Linked DNA regions of Elephas maximus indicus. The protein of the gene in region 4 purifies or fractionates together with the protein of the main gene of each other region. This does not show direct contact. Links are inferred from orthologs where the notes say so. Each region holds a gene or a part of one and is shown on either strand. Other genes may lie near its edges.

What was found.
Region 1: the proteins of SMARCB1 (region 4) and BCL7B purify together in Homo sapiens (affinity purification with mass spectrometry; 6 studies listed by BioGRID and IntAct, with this or other methods). This does not show direct contact. The link is inferred for Elephas maximus indicus from reciprocal best matches to the Homo sapiens genes SMARCB1 and BCL7B.
Region 2: the proteins of SMARCB1 (region 4) and SIN3A purify together in Homo sapiens (affinity purification with western blotting; 3 studies listed by BioGRID, with this or other methods). This does not show direct contact. The link is inferred for Elephas maximus indicus from reciprocal best matches to the Homo sapiens genes SMARCB1 and SIN3A.
Region 3: the proteins of SMARCB1 (region 4) and BCL7A purify together in Homo sapiens (affinity purification with mass spectrometry; 7 studies listed by BioGRID and IntAct, counting the BioPlex papers as one, with this or other methods). This does not show direct contact. The link is inferred for Elephas maximus indicus from reciprocal best matches to the Homo sapiens genes SMARCB1 and BCL7A.

The regions. Positions count from the first base shown.
Region 1 is NC_064830.1:110,066,639-110,074,262, forward strand, and holds the start of BCL7B (B-cell CLL/lymphoma 7 protein family member B), read left to right. Parts: upstream 1-4,607; 5' UTR 4,608-4,692; coding exon 4,693-4,784; intron 4,785-5,154; exon of another isoform or gene 5,155-5,369; intron 5,370-5,408; exon of another isoform or gene 5,409-5,510; intron 5,511-5,562; exon of another isoform or gene 5,563-5,637; intron 5,638-7,624. UniProt on the Homo sapiens protein: Positive regulator of apoptosis. Plays a role in the Wnt signaling pathway, negatively regulating the expression of Wnt signaling components CTNNB1 and HMGA1.
Region 2 is NC_064831.1:65,381,098-65,388,711, reverse strand, and holds the start of SIN3A (paired amphipathic helix protein Sin3a), read left to right. Parts: upstream 1-4,578; 5' UTR 4,579-4,616; intron 4,617-7,558; exon of another isoform or gene 7,559-7,614. UniProt on the Homo sapiens protein: Acts as a transcriptional repressor. Corepressor for REST. Interacts with MXI1 to repress MYC responsive genes and antagonize MYC oncogenic activities. Also interacts with MXD1-MAX heterodimers to repress transcription by tethering SIN3A to DNA.
Region 3 is NC_064840.1:8,047,711-8,055,631, reverse strand, and holds the start of BCL7A (B-cell CLL/lymphoma 7 protein family member A), read left to right. Parts: upstream 1-4,842; 5' UTR 4,843-5,026; coding exon 5,027-5,118; intron 5,119-6,308; exon of another isoform or gene 6,309-6,393; intron 6,394-7,921.
Region 4 is NC_064840.1:22,469,763-22,476,737, forward strand, and holds the start of SMARCB1 (SWI/SNF-related matrix-associated actin-dependent regulator of chromatin subfamily B member 1), read left to right. Parts: upstream 1-3,962; 5' UTR 3,963-4,149; coding exon 4,150-4,242; intron 4,243-6,975.

The DNA.
Region 1 (7,624 bases), on a different chromosome or scaffold from region 4:
GCAAGACTGCATCCTACATACTTTGGACTTGTTGTCAGGAGGGATCCGTCCCTGGAGAAGGACATCATGCTTGGTGTGAAGTACAGGGTCAGCGGACAAGAGGAGACCCTCAACAAGATGGATTGACATAGTGGCAGCAAGGATGGGCTCAAGCATAACAATGATTGTAAGGGTGGTGCAGGACCGGGCAGTGTTTCGTTCTGTTGTGTACAGGGTCGCTATGAGTCGGAACCGACTCGATGGCACCTAACAACAATAACAACTACTAGGGTCACATAACAATGTGTATATAAATTTTTGTATGAGAAACTAACTTAAACTGTAAACTTTCACTTAAAGCACAATTTTTAAAAAAATGATAGGAGGTTATCCTGGATTATCTGAGTGGGCCCAGTATAACCACAATGGTTCTTAAAAGTGGAAGAGGGAAGCAGAAGAGAGATGCAGAAAGGTGGTGGCATGAGAAGGACTCAACCTGACATTGCTGGCTTTGAAGATGGAGAAAGGGGCCATGAACCAAGTGTCTTAGGCTAGGTTCTACAGAGGAACAAAACCAGTGAAGCATATATGTAAATATACAGAGAGAGATTTATTCAAGAAAATTGCTCAAGCAATTGTGGAGGCTGGCAAGTCCCAAATCCTTGGGTCAAGCAGCAGGCTGGAGGCTTCTGACTCACGTGGTTACAGGGGCCGACAAACCCAAACTCTGTAGGTCAGGCAGCAGGCTAATGGCTCATGGGGTTTCAGGACTTGGTGAATCCAAAATCTGCAGGTCCAGCAGCAGGTTGAAGTCTTCTCATGACCCAAGATCCAGACGTTAGACGTCAACGAGATGAATGCAGAATCGGGAGAGAGAGCTTTGCCAGAACATCCATTTACATCCTGGATGTAGGCTACACCCCCAAGGAAACGCCCCTTCCAACTGATTGGCTACTCACTTTAGATCACAAAATGGGAGGTGACTACCTAGTGCCTGACAAACCGCTGAGAATCATAGCCTCGCCCAGTTGGCCTATAACCATCACACCAAGGAAAGGGAGTGGCCTCTAGAAACTGCAACAGGCAAGGACACAGATTCTCCCCTAGAGCCTCCAGAAGGGAATGCACGCTGCTGACACCTTGACCTTAACCCTGTGAGATCCATGTTGGACGTCTTGTCTACAGAACTGTAAGCTAATGAATTGATGTTGCTTTAAGCCACTAAATATGTGGTAATTTGTCACAGCAGCAACTGAAAGCTAATACAATGATATACTACATGAGATATCAAGGTGCAGACTAGTGCGGAGTGTGCTACAATCTGTGTAGAAAAAGAAAGGAATATGTACTTTTGGATATATGTTTGTAAATATGTGGACCAATGGTTCGAAACCTCAGCTGTACAAGACTGTGATCTGGAAACCTTAAAAAACAAACCCCAACGTTCAGGCTGCACCACGGACCACTAAACCAGAACCTCCGGGGTGGGCCCCGGCATCGGTATTTTTTTGGAGTTCCCCAGGTGCAGCCAACGTTGACAGTATCAGTGTAGACTGTCTCTGGAAGGTTAGGCAGAGGGTGACAAGGACAGGGTGAGTGCAGGATCAGGAGGGAGGGACTTGTTTATTTTTTAACTTTTAAACTTAACTGTATACCTTTAAACAAAAACAAAACAAAACACATGCACAAGCCATCTACAGAACCATGGAGACAAAACCTTGGTGATAGGGCCCAGGAATCTGCATTCTAACAGCTTTCTTGGGTGAGCCTCATGGTCGTCGGGGCACCACTGGGCTCTCTCTGCCTATGCTGTGTCCTCATTGGCCGCGTTCTTGTTTCTGGCTTCCTGGTACTTCGCATTAACAACGTACCAGGGAACCACCCCCTGTGAAAGTTTTGAAGGCCTCCTTGAATCATTTCCATTTTTTAGCCCCTGAAACTTCTCTCAGTGAATTCCACGGGTTTCCACCGTCGCTGCTTAGAGTGCCCGGGGAATCCTTCACAACATCTCACGTCTTCTTTGCTCCTCAGCACTGTGTTTTGGTTTCTGTGGCCTGACACAGGAGTAGACCTTCCAGTGGCTTTTGCAGAAAGGAGGGAGACATTGATTCTTATCCTCTTTCCCCCATCTTAACCTATGAAGGAGGAAAGAGAGAGGAACCTCAGCGTGTTTGAGACTCCTACACCATGAGGCTTCTCCTCAAACAGGTTTCTTTAGCTACCAGTGGTCTTCAGGGTGGCTTTTTGTCTAGACTGCCTTGGAAATCCTTGCCTTTTAGGAGAGTTCAGGGTATAATACAGAATGTGTTCAGAGTCCTGTGGGGGTTCATGGGAGGAAGGTCTCTTTCCTTCTGCTTGGAGTGATCTGGGAAGGGTTTATGGAAGGGGGAAGCATTGATGTTGGTCATTCACTCATTCAACAAGTATTTATGAGTACCTACTGAGTGCCCGGCTCTGTTCTAGGTGTTGGGGACAATCAGTGAACTAATGGACCATGTTGCTACCTTCATGGAGCAACTGAAATCGGGAGATAGATAATAACCAACATAAACAAATAGTATTTTAGATGATGAATGCTCCAAAGAAAAATGTGGGGAGATAGGGAATGTGCGTGGAACAGATGTGGCAGCCTTAGGTAGGGTGGGCAGGGAAGGCTGCACTGAGAACATTTGAGTAAAGATTAAAGGCAGGGGTGAGGGAGTGAACCATGCACATATATGGGGGATGGGCAGAAGAACCTCCAGTGTAAAGGTCCTGAGGCAGGAGCTTGAGTGAATGTTTTCAGATTAGCAAGGCGGCCAGAGCAGTTGGAGAGTGCAAAGGAGAAAGTTATAGGAGGTGAGGTCAGAGAATTCTTGGGAGGGGTGTGGCAGGCACATGGTGCGAGGCATCGAGGCCACTATAGCTTTTCCTCTGAGAAGGGAAACCATTGCCTTGAGTGCAAGTTCTTCAGGGACGAGGCCTGGGCTGGCTGATCTCTGCATCCCCCTCAGGATCCAGCAACAGGCTTTCACCTCAAAAATGTCAAGGCGTGACTTTCAAAAAGAAAAAGAGGTCACCATTTGTGTGGTCTGTGGGGAATAGTTGGTATGTGCCTGCTTTGATACTCTCTCACACAGACAAAGCTGCAGTGGGAGATGGGGGCGAACAAATGTGAGCAGTTAACATGGGTCACTGGGACTTTGGAGCTGGGGATGGCCTGGTCAGAAAAAGTGACTGACTGGCAGTGGGGCAGCGTGGGCTGGAGGAGGGTTGGATGCCGCCAGAGACCAGGGCAGCTGTTAGGTGGAAAGAAACTACAGGCCAGAAACCTCCAGAGGCCAGGGGGAGGCTGGTCAGGACTTGGACAAGGGTGAGACAGAGGTTAGACATAACCGCCAGGTGTTGGGCTGTATGCCTGCACCAGGGAAACCTATGAACAGAATTGGAGGCGTCTAGAAACCTGGCCTCTCTCTGGCACTTAACATGTTCTGCCTTATGTTTTATGTTCCTGTTGCTTTCCTTATCCTCAGCTGGAGGGCAGGGAGTGTCTTACCCATCTTTGCATCACCCACAGTGTCCTCTGCTATGGGGCACATGGCAGAGCTCAGGCGGTGGGTGATTTTGGATCAGTTGGGTTTGAGAAATAGGTGTGCCACCTTTGATCCCATTATTTCTTCAGTCAGCTTTTCCCTCCACTTGCTGGTGCAGCTCTTCCACTCCTCAGTCAGGTAGAAGCTATTCTTGACCCTCGTACCTGCAAAGCTTCCATCTGCTCTGCCTATTAGCTGTGTCGATAAACGTCTAAGGAGCATTTTCAATGCCTGTGGACACTGTTAGCCCTTGGAACAATAGCATCTACCCTGTTTTCAGAGATCAGCTTCAAGCTCACTTTCTCTCCTCCCCAAGCTTTCTGGAAAGCCCCCATCTAACTTCGAGCTGTCAAAGCACCCTATACTTCTCTTAGCCAGCAAGTATCACATGACATTTTAAATACCTCTTCTGATTTGCACGTTCTACTAACCCGGGAGTTCACGGTGCGAAATACACATCCTTGTGTCCTCAGCACTTAGCACAGAACTTTGCAGAAGTCGGCATCATTTAGTCAGCTGCTGCACGAAATGAGACAAGGGATCAAGTGTGAACAAGGTGGTAGTGTAGGTGGGTCGCACTCAAAGACTGCAGAATAAGGTGGGACCCCACGGAATTCGGAGGAGGTGTCTGAGTTTTAGCTGGATGTCGGCAGCGAAGAGGCAGCTGCAGGGATCAGGTGTGTGCGAGGGTCAGCGGCCTGCTGGGGAAAGGTGTCCCGCTCTGGGACCTCTCCGGGGAGCTGGGCGCTGACCGGGGCAGGCCAGGCGCCCGGGGCCCGCAGCGTCCAGGCCACAGGCTGGAAGCCGCAGGAGCCGCTCCGGCAGGTGCTGGCCTCTGACCCCTGAAGAGCCGGGGCCTCGCACCTCGCCCTGCCCACTGCACGTGCCGCCCGCTCGCCGCGCACCCGGCCTGCGCGGGGCTAAGGGGTTGCGGGGCGCCCAGCGGGGGCCGCCGGCGGCGGGCGGGCGCGCAAGCGCGCTGAGGCCTCGAGCCCCAAGGGGCGGGCGGGTGCGCGCGCTCCCCGCGCACGCGCGCACGGAGGGGGCCAGGGCGGCGGTGACGCTGCGGCTGCGGGCGGTGGGCGGCGGGCGGCGCGCGATCCCGTGTCCTGGGAGCAGAGCCCCAGCCCCCGCCGCCGCCATGTCGGGCCGGTCGGTCCGGGCCGAGACCCGCAGCCGCGCCAAGGACGACATCAAGAAGGTGATGGCGGCCATCGAGAAAGTGCGGAAATGGTGAGGGGCTGGGGCGGCGGCTCCTGGGGGGCCGGCCCCGGGGAGCGCCGAACTGGCGGGCGCTGGGGGAGGGGGCAAGCAGGAAGCGGGAGGTGGCTACTGCCCGCGTCGGCGTGAGGTCAGGGGGCGCGCCGGCTGCAACCAATGAGCGGGCGGCCCGGCTCGTGGGCCCGCCCACCTGGCCGCGCGTCTCCCGGGAGAGACTGCTGGCTTCCGGTCCGCGCTCGGTCCGTCGGGCCTTGCGCTCTGCGCGTCGCCCGGGAGGGGCTGCCGGCTTCCGGTCAGCGCTCGGTCTGCCGGGTCTTGCGCTCTGCGCGGCGGCAGGGTTCCCGCGCGGACCGGACGAACGCGCCCTCTCGCTTACCGGGGCGTTCTCGCCGCCGCCCGGCGTGCTCGGGCTTGTTTCTCAGCTGCCCCGTCACAAAGGCTCGCGAGCGCTGAGCGTCCAGTGTGACGGCCTGATGGCTTTCTGTGTTAACTCACTTAAGTTGGGTAAGAGCCCTCCGTAATTCTGCCTGCCGGCGGAAGCCAGCCTGGCCGCGGACATCGGGCCCCGTCCCCTCCCCTGACATCTTTCAGGTGTACCTCCCAGGTGTACGTTCCAGGTGTACCTCCCAGGCGTACCTCCCAGGTGCACGTTCCAGGTGCACCTCCCAGGTGTACGTTCCAGGTGCACTTCCCAGGTATCTCCCAGGCGCACGTTCCAGGTGTACCTCCCAGGCGTACCTCCCAGGTGCACGTTCCAGGTGCACCTCCCAGGCGTACCTCCCAGGTGCACGTTCCAGGTGCACCTCCCAGGCGTACCTCCCAGGTGCACGTTCCAGGTGTACCTCCCAGGCGTACCTCCGAGGTGTACTTTCCAGGTGCACCTCCGAGGCGTACGGTCCAGATGTACCGCTGGTACTTTCTCGTGCCCTGGGGGCTGCTGGTGGAGGGGCCTGGGCCTAGCCCTTGTTTGGAGACGGAATGAGCGCCTGTCTTGTAGCAGGAACTCGGGTGCGTTATCGCATTTAACACTCACGGGCGACTTTTTGATGCCTCCTTGAGCCCTTTCCTTCCCCTTTTCCCTATCAGAAGCCCCGATGGATGGGTCTTAGTTTCCTCCAGGAGGCCTTCTCCAGCCCGTCACCCCTCACCCTCCACCCTTTTGGGGACATCATTACTCAGGTCTGTATTCGTGTGTTTGTCTATTTCCCAACAAGAGAAAGCTTCTTATTTGGGACTCCGAAATTAAATGATTTTTCCTCTCTAAATCTAATTCTCCTAGGTTTTGGTTAAACGTAAGAATCGGTACACCTTTTTTTTCTCCTCGACATCTTTGTCCTCACCTGTCACCGAGGCCAGATTATCATCTTCACCTAGACATCGGCACCAGCGCCTCCGTCATCTCCCTGCTTCTACACTGGCCGCCTACCCAGTCCCTACTTCACATTGCAGTCGGAACGATTTCGTTTTTCTTATTTTCAGTTACCAGAGTGATCTTTTTAAAGTGAAAATGTTACCATAGCATCCCCTGGTTAGAAAATAACGCTTCAGTGGCCTCTTGTCTTCTTATCTCAGGATAAAGACCAAAGCAGATCTTTCCTGCCTTGCCTGTCTCGCTCAAACTGCCCTCTTTGCCAGGAGGCTGTTGTCGCACACTCCTGTTCTGCTGCCAGGCATCCTTCCTCCTCCCCTCTCTCCACCCCCTTCCTGGGTTAACTCCCAGAGCTTAGTTCAAAAGTTGGCTTCTCAGGGATACTTTTCAAAATTCTCAATCTAGGTCGGGTCTGCTTCATAGAACTTTACACAACCCTGAGAAATGCCTTATATTTGAGTATTTAATCTACAAAAATGGCAATTTTATATGTTTCAAATTAATGATTAAGTGGCTGATTTTGAAATAGTTGTTTAATGTCTGTTTCCAGCTGGAATGCAGACTCTGTGAGGGTAGGAACCTGTATCTCCTCTCTCGCTGCAACCCCAGGGCCTAATACAGGAATTTGTACGTTAAATATTTCTTGAACAAATGAGGAAATGGAGTGGCCTGTCTGGAACTAAACTCCAGTTTCTTGAATCTTTAGTTCATCCTTCTTTCTGTTACGTCACAGTCTGTCTCCATTTCTGTGATGTCATCATTTGCTGAAGAGCATTGGTTACTTTTTTTTGTGTGTGATCTCAAATTTGGACTTGAAACCTTCAGAGTTGTTTTACATCTGTCGCAAAGCAGCTTTCTGCGTCTGGCCCTCATTCCTGCTGACAGCAGGTACCTCATAGGGACACCAGTGGCTCTTAGAATAAACAAATTCATTCTGTGTCTGGCATACTTAGAGAAGTAACCTTTTGGAACAAAGGGTAGTCTCCCTTGTTTCTTCTGCGCACACACGTAAGCACATTGAAGGTGCTTCTGTGTGCCACTTCAGAACACTGGCATTTGATGTAATCAGGTTTAGCTAGAGTTGTGAGGCCTTAATAGTGATCTAGAGAGTGACCTTGGGCAAGAGTTTTATCCTTCCTAATGCCTTTTTTTTATCTTGTGAGTGTAGTGGTTAATCTCTGTTATTTTTTACTTCGTAAGGATATATTGTTTGCTGCCATCAAGTTGGTTCGAGCTCATGGTGACCCCATGCACAGTGGCATGAAATGTTGCTCGATCCTGCACCATCCTCACGATTGGTGGCAGATCAGACACTTGTGATCCATAGAGTTTTCACTGGCTAATTTTCAGAAGCAGATCACCAGACCTTTCTTCCTTGTCTTAGTCTGAAAGCTCTGTGGTAACCTGTTCAGTGTCATAACAGCACAAGCCTAGACCAGCCTGGAGACTTAGAGATGATCTCGAAAATTATCAGAACATTTTT
Region 2 (7,614 bases), on a different chromosome or scaffold from region 4:
TATAAAAAAAAGAATAAAAAGGCACAGTGTCCCCTCCCCCATTCCAGGCTCACTCTCTTCTACTCCTCCCCCACCTTAGAACCTGTCTGCCTCTCTAAGCCACAATATAGTTTGAAAGCCTCAGGACTGCGCAGATGTGCAACGGAGCAGAGGTCAGCCCCTTCATCTTGTGGGGTCTCTGTTTTACCTCCTTGACCTTTAATGACTACCTGTGTCCAGGAGCCAGTTGAAGTCCGAGTCTAACGTTCAGGACAGATACTAGACAGGAAATACCAATTTGGGACTTTGTCTACATAGAAGCAATGAGCATTGGTAGTGGGTGGGATCAGCCAAGACTGAGGAGGGCAAGATGAGAGGAGAGACCTGTGGGGGCCACCGACATTTAGAAGATGGGTAGAGGAAGAAAAGCCCCTCAGTGATACTGAGCAATAGGCAGAGGTAACCTGAGGCTAAGCCAGGCTGGCTTGTCACAGGCTGTTGAGAGGTGGGGAATGGTTGGGATGAATGAACAAGATTTGGAAAAACGGGTTCGCTAGCTGTCTTCCTGGGGCAGGGGCTGTCAGAAGGAGGAGGCACAAGTGGAAGGCAAAGTAGAAACTAGAGTGCTCTGACTGCCACTTCAACCAAAGCAAGCCCCACTTTTTGTCTCTTACATATTAGCCCTCCCAAGATTTCATTTGAACAAGGGCATCTGCCACTTAAAGAAAATAATTACCAAACAACTGATATACGAAGGAAACACTTTTAAAGCATAAATCCAGGTAACCTGGGGAAACAGACAGTTATATTGATTTTCCAGATTTGGGCTGGAAGCAACCCAGAGGGGTAAACTCACACTGAGGGGAAGGTACTTGAAGACACAGAATGGCAGTCTAACACCTACTCAAAATTCCCAAGCCTCCAAGGCCACCCAGGAATCAGAATATGGAATATAAACAACTTACTACACCACCTGGTTGCTAGAGAAATGGAGTTTCTTCACATAGTAGAGTTGTTTGGTCCTTTAGGCCAGCTCCTGGACTCACTGCTAGGACTCCAACTTCAGGGACTTTGCATTTGAATGACCAGGAGAAGAGGGGGTGAGGATGGGATGACGAAAAAAGTTGGAGAAGTCTTAACGAAATGCTAGGCATACTTTAATGTTACAACAGCCCACCGAAGTAGATATTCTTAGTTTACAGATAAAGATAAAGCCATCCAGCTGGGAAGTGGCTGAACCAGAATCCTGACCAATAGCTTGAGCTTCTCCCCTTGAAGCTATAGGGTGCTTGGGGTGGGGGTAGGGACCTAGCCTCCGATTCCAAAGTAAAGCCTCAAATGCTCCTCACATGGATATTCCCCAGCAGGCTGTGGCTGCCTTCTACAGCTGCCAGAGGTTCTGGCAGCAGGGCACTGCAGTGCAGGCTCTAAATTTCTCTAATCACCATAAGCACCCTAAAGAACTGTGAATGAGTTCTTTTTGTGAATGAGGGTGTTTGTGTGTGTGAGTTTTCTGTGAAATTGTGGATGTCAGAAGGTGTGATAGTTTTGAGTATGTGTATTGTGAGTTGACATATGATGTGTGTGACTGCAAGACAAATCTTGCTTCTTTGAGGAGGATAATTTTTTTGAAAAAGCTAGAAATGAACTCTCTGGGGACAAACTGCTGTTACATTTATGGAGGTGAGAAGTGTGGAGCAAGAGGGGAGACTTTTCTGTAGGGGTCCCAACCTGGAGCTCATCTCAGGCACCAGTGTGTACGGAGACAGCATGTGGGGACACAGCTCAGGCTTTGGGCATGGATAGACTTGGCTACTCAGGCTATGAGCCCGGATAGACTTGGCCACCTGACACGGGAAAGTCACTCTACTGCTCTGAGCCTCAGAGTTTACTCATCTGGAAAATAAGGTTAAGAATCCCTAACTCAAAAAACTTGTGGGATGTTTCACACAAAAGAGGCCTCCTGGGAATCAGAACCTGGCATCCCAACATGACTTCTCCAAGAAGGGCTCTCACCCAGGTATATTCACTGTTCTGTCATCACTGGCATGGAGAGGGGGATGTGGATGCAACCCTCAGTGTAGCTGGAGGGCCAGTGTCACCAAATCAACTATTCTCACAGAGGCTGGGGTTGGCTGTGCAGGCATCAGTGTACTGAGTCAGAAACAATCACTGGAGCCCTTCCAAGGTAACTCCTGAGGTCAGTTTAGGGGTGTTGAGGGGGGAGTCCGCAACAAGGTGGTACACTTAAAGCTGGGAGTGTCAGGGAAACCTGGTTCTCTGGGGTGGGGGGCAGCTGTTCTAGTTGCAAATGCTCTGTAAGTAATTTCATCCACAGCACACTACTTGCTTCCCAGGCTCAATCAAATGCTTGGGTCCTTGGTCTCCACAGAAGCACAGAAACTCAGGTGTATTAAAGAGCATTTTATCATCATATTTTATCCCCATAACAAGCCTGAGAACAGCAAGGCAAGGATTATAATGTTATCCTCTTTTACAAGAGGGGAGGCTGATCCACAGATAATAAGGGACTGAGTGGGGACCAGGGGGCTCAACTTCCAAGCTAGCGTCCTTACTGCTCTAGCACTCTGCTTCATCCCACACTGACTCGGTTGGTATCTGCTATGCCTTCCGTGAGGGCAGAGCCCCTTGGTAATACAGCAGGAATCTGAGATGGGGGCTCCAGACATCAGGGGGTCTCTGGTCTGAGAGTGAAGCTTGACCTCCATGGCCTGCCATTAAACACACAGTCCTCATCTCCTGGCCTTTCCCCTCAATGATCTCATCAGCGGAGACTCCTGGGGTGACCCACTACATTTCCCAAATCACCTTCCTACCTGCCCTTTCTCTTAGTGGAAGGATCCCCCGGACCCCAACACACACGCACCTGGGGCAGGTACATGAACTCAGAGGGAAGGGTTTTTAGAGGATGTCTTTCTACTCCAATTTCCACCCCTATTTCACAGGGGGAAAATGGGTCCAGAGGGAGAAAGGGATTTGCCTAAGGATATGTCACCAGTCACTGGCTTAGAACCCAGATGACCCAACCACTAGCCACAAATTCTTCATACACCTCCTCACACAGCATGCTACTGGTTACTTCCTTCCCTCCACTACCTACACTGAACCAGTCACCCGCTCCCCTTGAGTCTTTCTCAAAACACATCTCTCTCCTATTCCTTCCCCACTCTCATTGCCCCAGTCAGGTCCTCATTACAGCTCACCTGAACTATTGAGGCAGCCTCCTAAACAGCAGCAAGCCCCCATTTTGCCCACAGGCCTCTAAGGCCCATCATACTCTGCACATCCCACCTCATCCACACCAGTTTCCTTTCCTCACTGCCCCAATGCGGGTAGGGCTGCCTCAATTAACAGGTCTTTCTTGCTCACACATTTTGGACCTCGAACACAGGCTCAGTTCTATTAAGCACAGGCCTGTGGGGTGCCTCCTACTCCCCCCCACCAGAAATCCTTTTGGTTGGGAGTTATGACAAATTCGGCAAATGATGCAGGGAAGAATCTGTAGCGCTTTGACTCGAGCGCTACAATGTGCCTCTTGTACTTTCCAACCAGTCATTGCAACAGCCTAGGCACTCCTCACTCAGCCCACCCTCAGAACCCATCCAGCCGCTGGGATGCTGAGCATCTTAGACCAGAATTCTGGGCCTTTTTGTGTGGCCCTGTGACCACCCTGTTCAAACACATTCAGCTGTGTAGGTCCAAGCATTTTAACCAAATATTATAAGCCTTCCTCTGGTCCCATCTTTCCAACCTTAATTTTCATTAACTATCCCAGCTGCACTTGAAGGGCCTTAACAATGTTTCACACCTACCCCTTTGTGCCCTTTGCTGAAAAATGACTTGCCCTTCCATTTCTGCCTGGTGAAATCTCCTTCGAGACCCAACTTGAATGCCTCTATGAAACCTTTCCTAATTTTCCTTCAGCTGGAAGGAATCTCCCTTCCCTGAGCTCCTAGAGATGTCTATTTATGTACACATTCCTGCCTTGAGTTAGCTTTTTCTGTATCATCTTTTCGGCTGGACCGGGAGTCCCTGGACGGTGTGGAGTGAGCCTCTCATCCGGCCTCTGTGAACGGACCCAGCAGCAGGCGCGGTATTAACGTGTCTGCCTCACCCGAAGGTGCTCAGACAAGTGCCTGTTGTCCTGGACGCAGGGATTCCCACTTGCATCACTCACTTTTAGGCGATAACAGAGGGCACCGGACACGGTTAGGTCACAGCCAGATATTCCAGCCAGGCGCTAGGGTGCCCTTTCCCGCCTCTCCGTCCAGCTCTGAAGGGTGTGTATGTGTGTGTGTGAAGGAAGTGGGGGCCGCGCAGCCCAGCTCCCTCTTCCTCCGGGTCCACCTGCGGATCCTCAAGTCCCAGAAGGCCTCCCTCCGGCTCGAGGGCCTCAAACTCCAAGACTGAGAAGACAGGGACCTCTGCCACAGTTGTGCCGCCCACTCGCGGAGAGTTTATTTATATTTTTTTTGGAGGGAGGGGGCGTGCAATGAAGGGGAAGAGGCGGGGCAAGGAGAGAAGGCGGGCCCAGGATGACTGACGTTAGAAGCGGGGAGCCAATGGCCCGTGGGGGGCGTTCCCCCCCATTCAGGACTCCTCGCCTGGCTCGGAAGGTATGTTAAACAGCTGCTTTTAATTTGGTCCCCCCAATCTCCGGCGTTTGGGGGGCTAGTCCATGGCCGCTCGCTTTGGCCAGCCCGCGGCGGTGCGGGCGCCACGGGCCCCGGGACGGAGCCAGGGGGAGGCTCGGAGTCCGGCCGCTGAGGGAGGCGAGGGGCAGGCCAGGAAGGAGAGCTCTTGGCGCCGCCCGCTTGCCAGTGTGTTTCCAAGCCGGGCGGGAGCTGTGGGGAGGGGGCCGGCCCGGCCTGGGGTCGCCAGGGCGCCAGCCGTGCTCCCTAGTTTATTTCACCGAGCAGTCGGTTTCGGTAGGTTTCGGCGGCGGAATGGGCAAGGGGTAGGCAGAAGGAGATTCCCCGCTCCTGGAATGTCCCTCCCTTTTGAAAAAATTTGTAAAGAAAAATGGGGGATTCCGTACACCGACTGGAACCAGGCCCGGGCTGCGGCGCGCGGGATCGGCAGGGGGCGGCGGCCCGAGCCGGGTTGGCCGGGCCCACTGAGCTCGCGGTGCCTGGAGTTGGTCGAGAGCTGGAGTTAGCAAGCGAGCCGAGGCCCGCGGCTTTCCCCGCTAACCACGCTGCACGAAGGCGGCAGCCACCCCAGGGGTTTTGTTTCTGCCCGCAAACTTGTCGGAGGGGCCGGTGGGCGCGCCCCCGGGAGGCGCGGGCGCCGAGGGCCAGCGGTTGTTAGGGACTCTGGGGGCGGGGGCAACGCCGGACTTGCGAGAGGGGCGGCCGGCGGCGGGAGAGGCCACCGGAAAGAGTCCCCGCGCTTCGGCAACAGCCCCATGCGCCGGCCGGAGCTCTCCGAACTCCCGGGCTGTGGCGGTGGAGTCGGCATTCGGCGCCGGAACCCGCCAGGCCGCGAACCGGCGCTGAGCTCGGCCCGGGGGTCTGGAAAACCTCCAGGAACTCGGCGGTTCCGACCCGCAGCCCCAGCTGATCCCCTTGCAAACATGGAGCTCCCTCCTTTCCCTCCCACCCCGCGGCGGCGGCGGCGGCGGCGGGGCTGCTCCCTCCCCCTCCCCCGGCCGTGCCGCTGCCGGGCTCCCCCTTCCCGCGAGGTGCCGCTGCGGGCCGCTCGGCCTCGAATCGGGCGCGGGCGTATTTGCGCGCGCCCCCGAGGGGGTGGCCTGAAAGGGGCAGTGAAGGTCGGAAACAGGGAAAACAGACTCCACGCTTGGAATCGGGAAAAGGAAATGCATCAGCGGGCGGGGAGGGGCGCAGGGAGCGCGCCTGTCAGTCGGGATGGCGGCCTCCGGCAGGCTGCAAGCGGGGAAGCAGGCGCCGGCGCGAACTGCGGGGGTCGGGCGGGGACGCCGGCTGAGGAGGCAGAGGGGACCGGACCCCTGGAGCACCGGGATTGCCCCTGCCTCCACTCATTGGCCCAGCCTGTTTACTATACTCCGGCGGAGCCTTGTGCAACCGGCCAGGAGGGTAGCTGAGGGCGGGGCCGTCTCTTCCACCCACCTCGGGCTCCTCCAGAGGCTCCGCCTCCTCTTGTTTTCTACTGGCTGGGCGAGACTCCCTTTTTCTCTTCTTGGTTACCAATTGGGTGACATTCTCCCGAGCTCCGCCTATCGGGAGGCCGGGCCGGAGTTTAAGTTGCTAGGATTTTTTTCCTAGAAGGGCGGAGGGAGGATTCCTGCGGCTTACGTGAGGCGCAAGGTCCCGCCCCTATTTCTAATTGGTGAAATGAATAGTTCCGCCTCCTCCGGCGGAGCGAGCTGGGAGGAGGAAAAAGCCAACCACTCGTCCCTGCCCCCTCCCTTCGCTCGTGTGCGCGCTTCGCACATGTATGGGGCCCGCCCCGCTCCTTCGAACTGCCCTCCCGCCCGGAAGTCCTGAGCTCGGCGCCCTTGGCGTGGGGGGCGGGGGCGAGAGGGGGCGGGGGGGCGCGAGCAGAGCAGGCACACAAAGATCCCTCCAAGGATCGAAGTCTGCTGGCCTTCGTGGTCCAACTAGGGGATGACCGTGTGGAGTGGATTTTGAGGGATTCTGCAGGAGCTGAGAGGGTGAAATCTGCCCTTCCCGGCTGGGGCTGCGTATTAAAGTTCTGACCGCTGCCTGGCTATTCTCGCACACCGGCGGCCCCTGACTTCCAGGGGATTGCCATTAGCTTAAGCTAGAGATCGCTGCGCACGCTGGCAGTGTTTTTTCTTCACAGGGCAAGGTGGCTGGCGTTGTTGGCTGTCTCGGGTTCGCCTGGGAGTCTTAGGCATGACCCAGGACAGCTCATCTCCCTGTAGGGCAGTCCACTTTTGGCTCGGGTTCGGAGTGGTTCTCCGTGTCTAGGTGGGAGCGACTTACGGCATCCAGTCCTGGGAAGAGGGGCCGGTCCAGGGTTAAAGGCACCTCTTGATATGTTCTGCCAAAATGCCTTTTCTTTGTAACCTCAGAGACGTTTGGCCCGGGGGTTGCTTTCGTAGACCTGACTTATTTTTAGAGCTCCGTCTGGGGGCAAGGCTTCACTCCTGGCGAGGCTGCTCCCACCTGTCGTGGAGTTCACAATTCGCCGCCGTGGCACCGCGGCTCAGAACCATCCTGGGAGTCAGGCCCACCTGTTGCCAGAGCTCGTTTCTGGCCGTCTCCGCTGGATTGCGGGGGACAGGGTAGGAGGATCTAGGAGCAGATTCCCTGCGGCCTGCCACTTCGGGACCCACCCGCCTCTCTGTGGGGAGTAGCCTTTTTGCTGGAGTGAGCGGGAAGGCTCTAGTTCCGCCCCCTTTCCTGGTGCTGCGAGAGCGCCCCCAAAACCATGGCCAGCGTCAGTTCTTAACTCTTTTGGTGAATGAATAAAAGCAAGGTAGCTATCGCAAGCACTTTGTCTCCCTGTGTGTTCGAGGCACTATTACCTACACCGAAAGGGTCAGAAGATTGCTATTAACACACTTTAGCCGAGGAAGAAAACAACAATTGTTATCTTTTGCCCCCAACTGATTTTTATCCTATCTCAAGTGTGGATATATCTTCAAGGTTCTTTTCTGCCATGGTC
Region 3 (7,921 bases), about 14 Mb from region 4:
AACTGAAGGGAAAAGAGAACCCCGAAAGAGACTCCAGCAAAGAGGCCACTCTCACCTCACAGATATTTGCAAATCCTAGCATATTTCAATAATGGTTGTATTAACTGGTCTTCCTTGTAGGCGTATGGATATTATCCTATCACAGACAGCGTTATACTTCAGGATAGATCTTGAAATGTTCTTTTTGACGATGAATGCAACACCATTCCTCTTCAATTTGTCATTCCTGGCATAGCAGACCATACGATTGTCTGATTCAAAATGGCCAATACCAGTCCATTTCAGCTCACTAATGCCTAGGATATGGATCTTTATGCATTCCATTTCACTTTTGACGACTGCCAATTTTCCTGGATTCATACTTTGTACGTGCCACGTTTTGGTTATTAAGGGATGTTTGCAGCTGTATCTCCTCGTTTCCAGCGGTACCACATCAGTAAATGAAGGTGCAGAAAGCTTGGCTCCATCCACGTCATTAAAGGTGGACTCTACTTTGAGGAGGCAGCTCTTCCCACCTGAGGGGCTCGTCTTCCAGCGCCGTATCAGACGATGTTCAGCTGCTATTCATAAGGTTTTCACTGGCTGGTTTTTTCAGAAGTAGGTCCTTCATCCTAGTCTGTCTTAGTCTGAAAGTTCAGCTGAAACCCGTCCACCTAGGGTGACCCTGCTGGTATATGAGATAGCAAGAGGAGGAAATTGGTGGACAGGTTTCAGCTCTTGCAAGAGCTTCCAGACTAAAACTAGTTAGAAGCACCTGGTAATCTGACACAGCCTTGCTTGCTGAAAGTGAAGAGGACTTGAAGCACTTACTGATGAAGATCAAAGACCACAGCCTTCAGTATGGATTACACTTCAACATAAAAGAAAACAAAAATCCTCTCAACTGGACCAACAAGTAACATCATGATAAATGGAGAAAATACTGAAGTTGTCAAGGATTTCATTTTACTTGTGTCCATAATCAGTGCCCATGGAAACAGCAGTCAGGGAATCAAATGATGTATTGCATTGGGCAAATCTGCTGCAGAAGACTTCTTTTAAGTGTTAAAAAGCAAAGATGTCACTTTGAGGACTAAGTTGCTCCTGACCCAAGCCACTATGTTTTCAGCACGCGAGAGCTGAATGACGAATAAGTTAGACAGATGTAGAATTGATGCCTTTAAATTATTGTGTTGGTGACGAATGTTGAATACACCATGGACTGCCAGAAGAATGAACAAGTCTGTCTTGGAAGAAATATAGCCAGAGTGGTCCTTGGAAGCGAGGATGGGGAGACATCGTCTCAAGTACTTCAGACATGTTATCAGGAGGGACCAGTCCCTGGAGAAGGACATCATGCTTGATAAAGAACAGGGTCAGCAAAAGAGAGGGAGACCCTTAACAAGATGGACTGACACGGTGGCTGCAGTGATGAGGGAGACTCTCCCCACAATAACCTGGGGCCCCAGTGGACACTAGTGGGGTGGTACACTGGCAAATGTTTAACAGACAGCTCTGGGTGGGGAAGGGGAAGGAGGATCCTGATTTATAGCATTTGCCCATGGCTGTAGTGTAAATGGAAACTCCGGTGGCATAGTGGTTAAGTGCTACAGCTGCTAACCAAAGGGTTGGCAGTTTGAATCCACCAGGCGCTCCTTGGAAACTCTATGGGGCAGTTCTACTCTGTCCTATAGGGTCGCTATGAGTCAGAATCGACCCGACAGCACTGGGTTTGGTTTTTTGGTTTGGTAGTGTAAATATTCTCACCATGGCTGACTTCAAGCTATTAACATGAGGTCACTAAACACAGAAGAGGGAAACGCAAGCCTGTGAGCCAGCTGCAGTACATCACTGACCCCACCCATAGGTTATAATAAGCAAATTCGACTTATACACCCTGCAGCCTGTATTTACATGGCCCGGGTGGTCCAGGAACCACAAGCCCTGAACTTGGATTGAGGTAGCCCTGGACCATCAGTTCCTTCAGGATCCTGGGAGAAGCAAATATAAACCATCCCTAAAGGAAAGTTACTTCATCCTAGGCCTCAAATTATTCCTATAAATCACGTTTAAAATACAATGTCTGGCCTGGTCAAAAAGAAGCAGGCATACCACAAGGAAATACGATACCATGAGCAAGAACTAGCAGAAACAGACCCTCAGATACTTCAAATGTTAGAATTATCAGACACAGGCTATAAAACAACTGCGCTTTGTTGAAGAAAATAAAGGAGTCCTAAAATATCTTCAGGGGACAAGAAACTATAAAAAGTGACATACTAGATTTGTAAAGAACATTTGTAGAGTTTTACAGTTTAATCAGGGATCGAAAACACAAATACCTTCAGGGGCCAGACAGGTAACACAAATGAGTAAAGCGGTTGGATGAGCACACTCGTGAACTGGGGGACGTCGTCTGAAGGGCACAGCGTGGTCCCTTGATGGGGACAGTGGGGGCCCAGTGTTGCCAGATCTACTGCTATTTCTGAATAGGCTGGATATTTGGGTTTTCCTTTTGGTAAAATACAAATAACATAAAACTGACCATTTTAGTCATTTTAACGTTTACAATCCAGTGGCATTAAGTGTAACCACAATGTTGTACGACCACGTCCTCTGTCTAGTTTCAGAACTTTTTTGTCACTTCAGAAGGAAACCCCATGCCTATTAGCAGTCTCTCCCCATCCCCACTGCTCCTCAGCCTCTGGCAACCACTAATCTGCTTTCTGGTTCTATGGATTGGCCTATTGTGGGTATTTCATTTAAGTGGAATCAGACAGTGTTTTTCCTTCTGTGTCTGCCTTCCACTGCCTTCCAGCATTCATCCATGTTGGGGCATATGTCTGTACTTCTTTTGTTTTATGGCCAAATAATATTCTATCGTGAGGATTTTCGTTTATCTATTCACCAATTGCAATTGGGGGTTTTGACATGATATCTATTTTCAATTAAAATATTTTTAAAAGTCCTGCACAGCCCAAAGTACATATCTGCTGGCTAGATCTAGTCAGACGTCTGTTTTATGGCCTGCTGCTCCATGGTTTCCCATATAATCTTCAGGATAATTCTCTAAGTGCCTTTCTTTTTTAAAAATTTATTTTTATTGTGGTAAAAACATATTAACAAAACATTTGCCAATTCAACAGTTTTTACATGTACAATTCAGTGGCATCATGTTCATCATGTTGTACAACCATCATCACTGTCCGTTTCCAGATTATTCCACCACCATTAACAGAAACTCAGTGTCCCCCTAAGCAATGACTCCCCACTCTCCCTCTCTCTGTACCTCTGGTAACCACTAATAAACTCTGGTCTCTGTACATTTACAGTCTATTTCATATAAGTGGGATCATGTAACATTTGTCCTTTTGTGACTTACTCCACTCAGCATAATATTCTCAAGGCTCGTCCATGCTGTAGCGAATCTGGACTTCATTTCTCTTTATGGCTGCTTAATACCCCACTGCATGGATGCGCCACATTTTGTTTATCCAGTCATCTGTTGATAAGCTTCTGCCTTTTGGCTGGTGTGAAAAGTGCTGCAATGAACGTTGATGTGCAGGTTTCTGTTTAAGTCCCTGCTTTTAATTCTTGTGAGTGTATATACCTAGGGCTGGAATTGCTGGGTCACTGAGGTTAGTGCTGTAATCTTAATTTTCACATCAGGAATTTGAGTTTCAGAAAAGTAAAACGACATGCCTGGGAAAGACACGCGCAGTCTCCCTCTCCACTTCCCCCTTAGAGCTTCTACAAAAAAAACCAAACCTCGGGGGAAATTGCTTGAGATTAGGATGAGTGAGAATTGGAGATGTAGGTTATGCCTAAGACCTTGGACATAACTCCTCGGGACTCAGTTTCGCACCTGGAAGTGACTGGCGTTGGAATTGCTAAGGCTGCCCCTCTCATTTTCCTGAGCACTCATGGGGCACGACTGGGTGCTGGTCAGATCTAAACAGCTGCAGCCAAACATAAAGGTGGGGGCACCTGGGCTGTCCTGATAATCGTCTATTCCTCCACAGGGCTGTCCTGAGGTCTAATGGGAAGAAAACTGCTGTCAAAAGCCCTCTCCGTGGGCTGGCCAGTCCTTTTCACCTTCCCGGAGCCTGGCACTTATCCGGAGTGCCATCAACAGCTTCAGTTTAAATTGTAGTTCTCTGACGGAAACCCCAGCATACCCCTCATCTTAATTATGGCGAGGGCACCTGATCTTAAGGTAAGGGCACCTAGTAAAAGGCTGAGGGTCACTGAGCTTTTCCTACGCAGAAAGCTGTTTAAAAAGCACGGCCAACTGTTTTCCCGGGATCTGCCACAGGCCCCCTTCCTTCCATCCTAGTTTAGCCAAAGGGCCCAGCGTCGGGGCGGCGAGGTGTCAGCCCGCGTGTTGAAACGGGGAAGAGGGCGAACGAACAGCGATCCGTATTTCTCAACTCTCTCCAAGAGCAACTCGCGTCCCGAATCGCCGCCTTCAACTCTGAGAAGTCAAGAGCCCCACAGGAAACTTGCATTATTGCAACCGCTACAACGAACCCGGGCCCGGAGACAGGCAGCCGAGCTGGCTCCCAAAGAACGCGCGCCCTGCCAGGCTGGCTGTCCCGCCAGCCTGCCCTCCCCAAGGGACCCCCAGCACCTGCGGCCTCCGAGGACTTGTCCGCGCGCGCGGCCCACGCCTCCCCCTCCACGTGCCCTCTCGGCCGCGGGGGCCCGGGTCGCCGCGCCCCCTCGCCGCCCGGGGTGGGGGTCCCGGGCGCCTTCCCCGGGCAGAAGCCGGGGTCGCGGCGCGCGGCCCGAGCCTGGGGCGCTGCCGGGCCCGGAGGCCGCACTGGCGGCGGCGGCGGCGCTGCTCCCCCGCTCGGTGCAGCTGCCGCCCGGCGCTTGCGCACTGGGCCCGGCGCGCGGCGGCACAGGCTTTGTGTGTATGTGTGTGTGAGTGTGTGAATGCGTGTGTGAGTGTCTGTGTGAGTGAGCCGCGAGCGAGCGAGTGTGGCCGCCGCGGAGCGCGAGCAGGACCGGCGGCGCGGCCCCAGCCTCTGTCGCCGCCAGCACCATGTCGGGCAGGTCGGTTCGAGCCGAGACCAGGAGCCGGGCCAAAGATGATATCAAGAGGGTCATGGCGGCTATCGAGAAAGTGCGCAAATGGTGAGCTGAGGCGCCTCCTCGCCGGGTGCCGCGGCCGCACAAAACCCGGACGCCCGGTCTCCGCGGCCCCAAGGGTCCGCCCGCGCCCCTCGCCCGGGCCGCGGGCCCAGAGTTGGCGCGGGTGGCGGGCGGGCCGGGTCACCTGCGCGAGCCGGGACCGCGGCCGCTGCCCAGGTGCGCTCGCCCGGCGCCCACCTGGCGCCGCGGCGGCGGCGGCGGCTCGGAGGCGGCGGGCGCGCGGGGCGGCGGGACCGGCGGCGGGACCGGCGGCGGCCCAGGCACGGCGCGCGGCCGGGAGGGGACTCGGGGCCGGCCCAGAAGCCATTTCGTTTTGTGCAAGTCACATGAAAGCGGCTTCCCGCGCGCCGGGCCGTGATGCCGGCGGAGCGGAGAGCGCGAGCTCCATTGTGCAGGCTCGGAGCGGGCCGCGTCTCCTCCCCGCGCGCCTCGGGCGGCGAGCGCAGCGCCGGCCCCGCGCCCTGCCCGCACGGCGTCTCCGCCGCCGGCTCCCGCCTCCCAGGCCCGGCGCCCTCGAGTCTGTGGAGTTTGCAGAGCGCCAGCCGTTTAAATTTAGCGCTTTGGGCTGCCTGGAGAGAGGGCTTTTGGCGAGGAAGAAAGACGGGGGCGAGCGCCGGGAGGAAGCGATGCCGGTGGGGCGGCCGGGGCGCCGGGCACCCACTCCCACCGCCCACCCGCACCGGCTGCGGGGCGCGGGGTACGGCTGGAGGAGATTTGGAGGCAGCAAAAGTGCTCCTGGGCCGCGCCTGCCTTCCCCAAAACAGAAGCTCGTGTGTGTTTTGCAGGGAGAGCCGTTGTTTTTGTTCTCTACTCGGGGGCAAAAGGAACATTTGGGGTCGGGGGCGCGTGGTTTTCAAGCTCAAATGAGCTCCTGGCTGGTGTGGCCCTCGTAATCATTGTGTTAAGAGCCTTCCCCGGTCTCGGCGGGTCTGACCCTGATCGGCCCCAGGCCAGGCCCGAGGCTGAGCCGATCCAGGTTGGGGTAGACTTTCAGAGAACTCCAGGCTCCCGGGTTTCAACTTTATTTTTTTTTCCTCCCACGGCTTCACCAGGGTACGGGAGGGAGAGGAACGGCCGCAACGCTGTCCCCGAGTGTCAGCACCCACGGTCTCGCCCTGCCCCTTTATTTAAAGCTCTGAAGGTGGGCAGGCCCGGTGGCAGGGTATATTTACGTTTTGGGGTGTCATTTCTTGAGTCGCGCCTCCATCTCTAAAAATCACGGGGGGCCGAGCCTCTAGGTCCGGCAGTGTCACAAGTTCGCTGTCCTTTCTGAGTCAAACCCAACAAAAAAAGCAAGAGAAAAATCAATAAAGTCCACGTGCTCCGGGGCCTCCTATGGAAAGAGCTGTCTGTGGATGGCCGGATGCCCGGCCGTGGGCTGGGTTTGGCTCCAACGGGACAAAGAATTTTCAGAACCGTGAGAAGGGAGGCTATTCAAAGTTGAGATCCGAGTCGCCGGTGCTTCGGTAGCTTCCCTGGCCTGTGCGCACACAGTGGCCGGAATGGAGCCTTTTAAAAATGGCAGAAACAGCTGCAGGCTAAAACGCAGCCACTGGAAAACAAGCCCTGCCAACTCCGTCTTCTGTAGGATTCCCAGGTGGGAAGGCTGGAGTTGTCCTGTTGCAAAGAATGGACTGGTGTCTGGGCCTGAGCCCCTTCTGTGGCCATCCTGGAGGCTAGGAAGGAGCCGGAACAGGCGGCCTTTCTCTGCTGGAGAAGGCTTGGTGGGGCCTCCTGCCCCAGGGTGGGAGCCTGGCTGAGGCCCTGCACCCTGACAGCTGCTCCTGCAGGCCCACCAGCTGCTCCACACAGAAGGCAGATGGAGAGATGGGGTTTTCTACCCAGCAAGCCCCAGAACCAGACAGCCCCGGAAGCCTGCACAGGACAGCCAGGCGTGTTTGGGTAGAGGGAGTCTCTCTCCCTCCCTGTGTTTTGGGAAACATGTCTTGTCCTTTAAAGATGTCAGGCAGGCTGTGGGAACTAACAGATGGGCTCCCAGCCCACTCCCTTGCTGTGACCTTACCATGCAACTTGTCAAAGCCATTGTAAAAAAGAAGTCCTGTGCTCCTTGCCCCTTAGGGTGGATGAGGACCAAATACAGTCAGGTCTCCAAAAGCACCTGTCCTAGCACGTGGGCCAATTACCAGTTGCCCTCCAGTCAGCTTCGACTCATGGCAACCCCATGTGTAGAATTGTGCTCCATAGGGTTTTTGACTGCTGATTTTTTGGACGTAGATCGCCAGGCCTTTCTTCCGAGGCATCTGTGGGTGGAGTTAAACCTCCAGCCTTTGGGTTAGCAGCCAAGTGCGTTAACTGTTTTCACCACCTGGGAACTCCTGGTACATTGTTTTTAGTTGTCAGTTTTGACTCATGGCGACCCCTTGTGTGCAGAGAACCGCTCCATAGGGTTTTCGAGGCTGTGATGTTTCGAAAGCAGATCGCCGGGCCTGTCTTCTGAGGTACTTCTGGGTAGGTTCGAACCACCAACCTTTCACGTAGGAGCACTCATTAAATGTTGTTGATATAAGGTGGACTTTGTAAAAGTCTTGCGGATTTTTTTTTTTTGCCACCTCTGAGCTCAAAAAAAAAAAAAAAGGCTTCTTTTCTTCACTGCTTGGGTTTAGTAGCTGTATCTCACCTTCACTGTACCTTTAGAATGGGCCTTCCAGTTGGAGGTTGAGGCTTTGAGTTGTTTATTAACTGCGTGGCTGTTAACCATGCATTTCACCACGGCTGAGACTTCGGGCTGCCAGATTTAGCAAGTAAAAATACAGGCCACCCAGTT
Region 4 (6,975 bases):
TCCCAGATGGATGCTCCTACAGCCCTCGTCCAGTGCCATTTCCCTGGGACCCCCAAAGCCCTGTAAATGTGTTGTGTACAGTGTGTACAGAGCCTTTTTTACTGAAGGACTGTCATTAAACACACTCGTTTTCTACCTGCCTGTCTGGTGTCTCTCTGTGGCAGCATGGCTAGGCAGGGAAAGAGTTGGCCTTGGTGCAGGAGGCCTTGCTCCCTCACTGTGAGGCAAGGCTGCAGCCTGCCTGCCCCAAGCCTCTGGTCCCAGGTACTGGGTTTAGTGTTCAGGGCGCCTCCTGTTTATCCTCCATCATGCCTCGCCTGTCAAGTGGACTCCCACCCAAGGTGACACCATGTGTGTCAGAATAGAACTGTTCCATCGGGTTTTAAATGGCTGCTTTTTTGGAGGTAGGTTACCAGGCCTTTCTCTGAGACACTTCTGGGTGGACCTGAACCTCCAAACTTTCACGTTTACTGTTTGCACCACTTGGGGACTCCTGACACCTGTAGTGGCTTTCTAATTGGCTCCCTGCTTCCAAGCTTGCCCCCTCTGTCCTCCACGAAATAGCCATTTTATGAGATCATGCCCCACCTTGCCCCTATTTTAAAATGCTTTGCTTTCCCACTGCTGTCAGGACACAGAACAAGGCTCAGGGGGACCACGGCCCACCCTCCTGACTCTCCAGCATCTCCAGCCCACGCTGCCCAGCCCCACATGTGTCTTCTTCATAGCACTTACCACAGCAGCAAGGCCACTAGGATGGAACCAGATGCTGCTATCAGGCCATTTCAGCCTAGTAGATCGTTCCGAGGGATACAGCCAATACTCTGATGCCACTCAGCAGGGCTGTCTGGTTTCACTCACCTATACCCGCTGGGCTTATTGTAGTCACACACCAGAGTGGAGGCAGGAACAGAGGTGTCCCTCCTATGTACGAAATTTTAAAATTAGGGTGCCTGATACTTCTGAGGGGGGCTGGCTCAGGTTTAAGCCCAACTCCATCTTGTATCTTTTCAGACTCTCGCTTGTCCTGCTTTTTTCCTTAGCAACAGTTAAACTTTGTGTAGGCTACTGAAATACCAAATGTTTTTCTCAAACTATAATTAACCTTTAGAAGCAACTTGTCTAGTTTCACATAATTGTATTTAGGTAATCAGGCTTATTAAAATACTTGAAATTTGTCCTCTCAGGAAACGAGATTAATGAACATGTTTCCAAGACTCCAGGAGTCTTCTAGTCATGGCTCTCTGATCTTGCAACTGTCTTAGCCACATTTTGATTTTTCTGTTTTTTATAAAGTTTGAGTACATACTGCCTTCTTATAAGCCAGAGCTAGGCTACCAGTGTCAAAAGTACACGTGAAACTAGGGGGAGGGAGCTAACAAACCCCATTGGGTAAAATGTTCTCCAAAGAACTTTCCCTTAAGCAAGTTAATCTTTACCACCTGTTCTCAAAACAAAACCCACATCTAGCCTTTGAACAAATCAGAAAAGTTTCCCCATTTCCAGATATCCCACCCTCAACTGTTTTACCTCACTAAGCATCAATCGGAAACCCTGGTGGTGTAGTGGTTAAGTGCTACAGTTGCTAACCAACCAATTCGGCAGTTCGAATCCACCAGGCGCTCCTTGGAAACTATGGGGCAGTTCTACTCTGTCCTATAGGGTCACTATGAGTCGGAATCGACTCAACCGCAATGGGTTTTTTTAAGCACCAATCAGAGTATTATGTTGCTAGTTCCTGGTTTAACAATATAAATATTGCATGGATGCCTGTAACTCTTCGAGGCTTTAGATTTCACTCTGTGAAATCTAATGTTTCCCCAGTTTAAAATGTATCCCCCCCCGCGCCGTATCTGTCAGTTTGTCATACTGTGGGGGCTCACGTGTTGCTGTGATGCTGGTAGCTCTGCCACTGGTATTCAAATACCAGCAGGGTCATCCATGGTGGACAGGTTTCAGCTGAGCTTCCAAACTAAGACAAACTAGGAAGTTCGGCGATCTACTTCTGAAAAAAATTAGCCAGTAAAAACCTTATGTATAGCAGTGGAATATTGTCTGATATAGGGTCAGAAGATGAGCCCACAGGTTAGAAGGCACTCAAAATACGACTGCGGAAGAGCTGCCTCCTCAAAGTAGAGTCAGCCTTAATGACAAGGATAGAGTCAAGCTTCTAGGGCCTTCACTCAGTGATGTGACATGACTCAGTGAGAAGAAACAGCTGTAAACACCCATTAATAATTGGAATGTGGAATGTATGAAGTATGAATCTACAAAAATTGGAAGTCATCAAAAATGAAATGGAACACATAAACATTGATATCCGAGGCATTAGTGAGCTGAAATGGACTGGTACTGGCCATTTTGAATTGGTCTACTGTGCCAAGAATGACGAATTGAAGAGGAATGGAGTTGCATTCATCATCAAAAGAACATTTCAAGATCCTGGAGTACAACGCTGTTTAAAGTCAGGAAAGGTGTGCGTCAGGGTTGTATCCTTTCACCATACTTATTCAATCTGTATGCTGAGCAAATAATCCAAGAAGCTGGAGTATATGAAGAAGAACGTGGCATCAGGACTGGAGGAAGGCTCATTAACAACCTTCGACACGCAGGTAACACAACCCTGCTGAAAGTGAAGAGGACATGAAGCACTGATGATCAAAGACCACAGCCTTCAGTATGGATTGCACCTCAACCTAAAGAAAACAATCATCCTCACAACTGTACCAACAAGCAACGTCATGATAAAGAGAAGAAAGACTAAAGTTTTAAAGGATTTCATTTTACTTGGATCCACAATCAACACCCATGGAAGCAGCAGTCAAGAAATGTAAGGATGCATTCCATTGGGCAAATCTGCTGCAAAAGACCTCTTTAAAGTGTTAAAAAGTAAAGATGTCACTTTAAGGACTAAGGTGAGCCTGACCCAAGCCATGGTGTTTTCAATTGCCTCATATGCATGTGAAAGCTGGACAGTGAATAAGGAAGGCCGGAAGCATCAATGCCTTTGAATTATGGTGTTGGCGAAGAATATTGCATATACCACGGACTGCCAAAAAGAACAAGCAAATCTATCCTGGAAGAAGTACAGTCAGAATGCTCCTTAGAAGCAAGGATGGCAAGTCTTAGTCTCACATACTTGGACATGTTATCAGGAGGGATCTGTCCCTGCAGAAGAACATCATGCTTGTTAAAGTGGAGGGTCATCGAAAAAGAAGAAGGTTCTCAACAAGACAGACTGACCCAGCGGCTGCAACAACGCACTTAAGCATAACGATGATGTATGGTGCACGACCAGGCAGTGTTTTGTTCTTTTGTACATCGGGTTGCTATGAGTCAGCACTGACTCCACCACACCGAGCAACAACAAAACTGTACCTTGCCTTTAATAAACCTCTTTACTTTTACATTAACAGTATGTACAGTTTTTACTCTTTGACACTCCCCTCCCACACTCATCTGATACACCAGCCAAACCAAATGCAGCTACATTCAGGCCCCTAGGCCTTTGCTCATGCCAATCCCCACTTCACTGTTGTCATTTTACCCACCCCCACAGCCGCAGAACCAGTTGGGTGTGGACCTGGCACATTTGTTTTCATGAACCCTCTTAGTTGCTCGGCAGCACTGTACTTCAGGGTGGGGAAACTGAGGCTGGCCTAGATTCAAAAAGTACTGCCAGGTTTCCAGATATAGTCCTTTCCTCCTCCTGGCCTTCAGGTCCCCCTTCATTCCTCCTCCACTGGGCAGAGTTCCAGTCCTTCCTGTGAGACTTGGAAGCCACCGCCTGAGTCAGGCCCTCAGCTGCTATTTTCTGTCGGCTAGAAGCTTTTCAATGCACCAGGACTTTGGGAGGCAACCAGAAGAAAAACGGGTCACGGTTCCTTTAAGGAGCCGGAGGGGAGCGCGCCCCGATCTTTTGTCTGGGCGGTGGCGCGCGCGTCTGCGTCAACGCCCGCGCATGCGCATGGAGAGCGGCCTAGGCGGCGACGGAGGCTGACAAGTCCACAGCGACGCGAGCACCAAATCTGGCCCAGCCTTCGCCTCCCGGCCTCGGTTCTCCGCGGCGCGGCGCGGCTAGTCCCGGCCCCGCCTCAGCCCTCCCGACCTTTCGCAGCCCGGCCCCGGCCGCCCGCTTCCGCCGCCGCAATGATGATGATGGCGCTGAGCAAGACCTTCGGGCAGAAGCCCGTCAAGTTCCAGCTGGAGGACGACGGCGAGTTCTACATGATCGGCTCCGAGGTACCCGCGGCGCGTCCTCGCCCCACCCCGCCCCGCAGGAGGCCCGGGGCGGGTCTGCGCGCGGGGGGCGGCCGTCTCCATTCATCGCGACGGGCGCGCGCGCGTGGCCGGGGCGAGGCCTTTCGGGGGTGTGGTCTGCCCAGGCTCCGCCCCGGGCTCTCGGCGTTCTGGGTTGGCGTTCGGTTTCCGCGTGGTCCGGGGCTCACCCCGCGTCATGGCTTAGGTCCTGCGAGGTGCCAGGGGACCGCCTAAGCTGGTCCAGCGCCAGCAAAGACGCAAATAAAAGGGGTGTTGTGGGTTGTTTTTTGTGGCTAGTCCCTGCGGTGCATGAAGGGGTCACAATGTTGCCCTTAAGTCTTTTGAGATGTTGACAATCTCATGTGCACCCCGCCCCCATTGTTCCGTCTAAGATCCTGAAATCGCGGGTTGGAAACCTGGGGCTTAGTGAGGGCTCCTGCCGGTTTGTGTTCGTTGCCGCGGAGGTGGGCCAAACCTACTGCCGTCAGTCGATTCCGACTCATAGCGACTCTGTAGGAGGGACATCTCTCAGCACTTCCGAAGCAATTGACGTTTTGGAGATTTGTGAACGGACTGACCTGAATTATTAAGGGGAGAAGGTTCTGTTCTTTAATCCTCAATTCGAAGCGACAGTACTGTGAGCCAGCTGGCGAACTGGCTTTAGGAAAATCCTACAACCGCCCCATCTAACGGGGGTTTGTACTACGTTAAGTTTTGCCAAATTGCCTCGTATTAGTCTTTTCTCACCTAAAGTCAGTACCCAACTAATATATATTTCTTTTTTTAATTGATGGGTGTAAATAAAGTTTACACGTGCACATGTCACACCGTTGAGTTTCTTATGTGACAAGGTAAGTGCCAATCTTGGAGTGCGAACACAACCACAAAATGCCAAGGGTCTCTTCTCTGTTGTAGCAGGTTTCAGTGTCATACTCCAACATCTCATTCATGCTTTTTTTAAAGTGTCTTTCCTTTTCTTCACCACTGAGCATAGCATGAAAGAATCAAACCTGTGATTGTCACGCTGAGGCTGTCAGGACCCCTCATGACTCCCACCTTGTCTTAGTCTGTGAGGCCGGTGTTGTCGCTTACCTCAGAACTTTAATGTTTCACCAGTTTTTATAAAACAGGAGAGCGGGATGCAATAAATTCTTCATGTTATCACATAAGTGCTGCTGTTCAAAGAAGGCTTAGCTGCGGACATGTTGCCAATTTCTGTCCATCTTCCCCTGCTCAGAAGGGGCCTCACCAGCTGGTCGGCACCCACCTACATTCAGGGCTCAAAAAGGAGTTTCCGAATGTGCCGTGGTGCAAGCTGTTTAAGGATAAATCTTTACCTGACCTAATGGTAAATTAGAGGGTTAGCTTTTCGCTTACCCTCTACGAGATGGAGTGGCACAGTAGCTGCAACGATGGGCTCAAGCATAACGATTATGAGGATGGCGCAGGACCAGGCAGTGTTTCGTTCTGTTGTACATAGGGTTGCTATGAGTCAGAACTGACTTGACAGCACCTAATAACAACAATGCCCTTGACTTGGAGTGGGTGGTCCTCTTGAGAAGAAAGCTTCCCATGATTCGGTGGCGTAAAGTAATTGGGAAGAAGCAGCAGCCAGGTGGGAAGACCATTGGAGGCCTAGTTCCAGCCTCCTCCGCCTACATCATTTTTGTCACCTATATAGTGAGCATGGTCTCGAAGACCTTCCATGTGACACACTTTAGGTTTCTCGAAAGCTAACAGCAGCCTTTTCTTTCAGCCTGTTTGCTCCTGGCCCAGCTTGTTGAGTGAGAGTGATTTCATGAGGGTCCCTTTGTGCCTGGTCCAGTCTGTAGAGCCCCAAGTGGGAGAGGCCTACACCTGTTCTTTTGGGCCAGGCTTAACAAGCATCAGCCATTTGGCATTCAAGGGAGGATTCAAGAGCAGAATGCTATCTGTGGATACTCAGTAGCTCTGGTGACTGTTGGATAGATGGCCCTTGGACCCCTTGCCCTTGGAAACAGACTCTGTGTTCAGAGAGGCAGGCCAGCCATGGTCACATCCCACCCCACCCCCAACGCCCTGTGCGGTACCCCGTGGAGCTGCCTTGGGTGGCATCTGCAGTTGCTGTGAGTGCGTGTCCTTATTCTCCCGCCATCTACAGGCAGCTATAGTCACCAGGCCAGGTCACAAAGCTGAGAGGACCCTGAGAAATCACTAAGCCTAGTACCTTCATTTGACATTTGGGACACCTGGGTTCATAGAGGGCCAGGGCTGATTCAGGGAAAACCCAGGAGGACAGTCGCCTGAAGGGGTCTTGGGAGGGGCTGAGGAGTCCCAGAGTCCCGAGGGACCTCCAGGGTAGTAATGGGGGACACTGTGGTCAGTTTCTTTTCAAAAACCTCATGGGAATTCTGTGCTTACCCTTGGGTGGCACCAGCACACACAGGCCAGGAGGTTCAGTGGTTGGCATCTGTGCTTTCTATCTGAAGCAGGAGGGGCTCATGCTACACAGAGACTCTGGTTGATGCTTATACACATCTTTACTCGTGAAATGTGGAGAAACTCGTTTTCACTTAATAAATATACTATGCTGGGTGGGTAAAGTGGGAAAAGTCATAGCAGTGATCTTTTGTGGGACTGAGTTCAACGGTGCTGAAAATTTGACCGAGGAGTCGAGGGACCCAGAAAGGGAAAGCAATCAGGGTCTCCAAGGAAGCCAGCACCTGGCCCACAGGC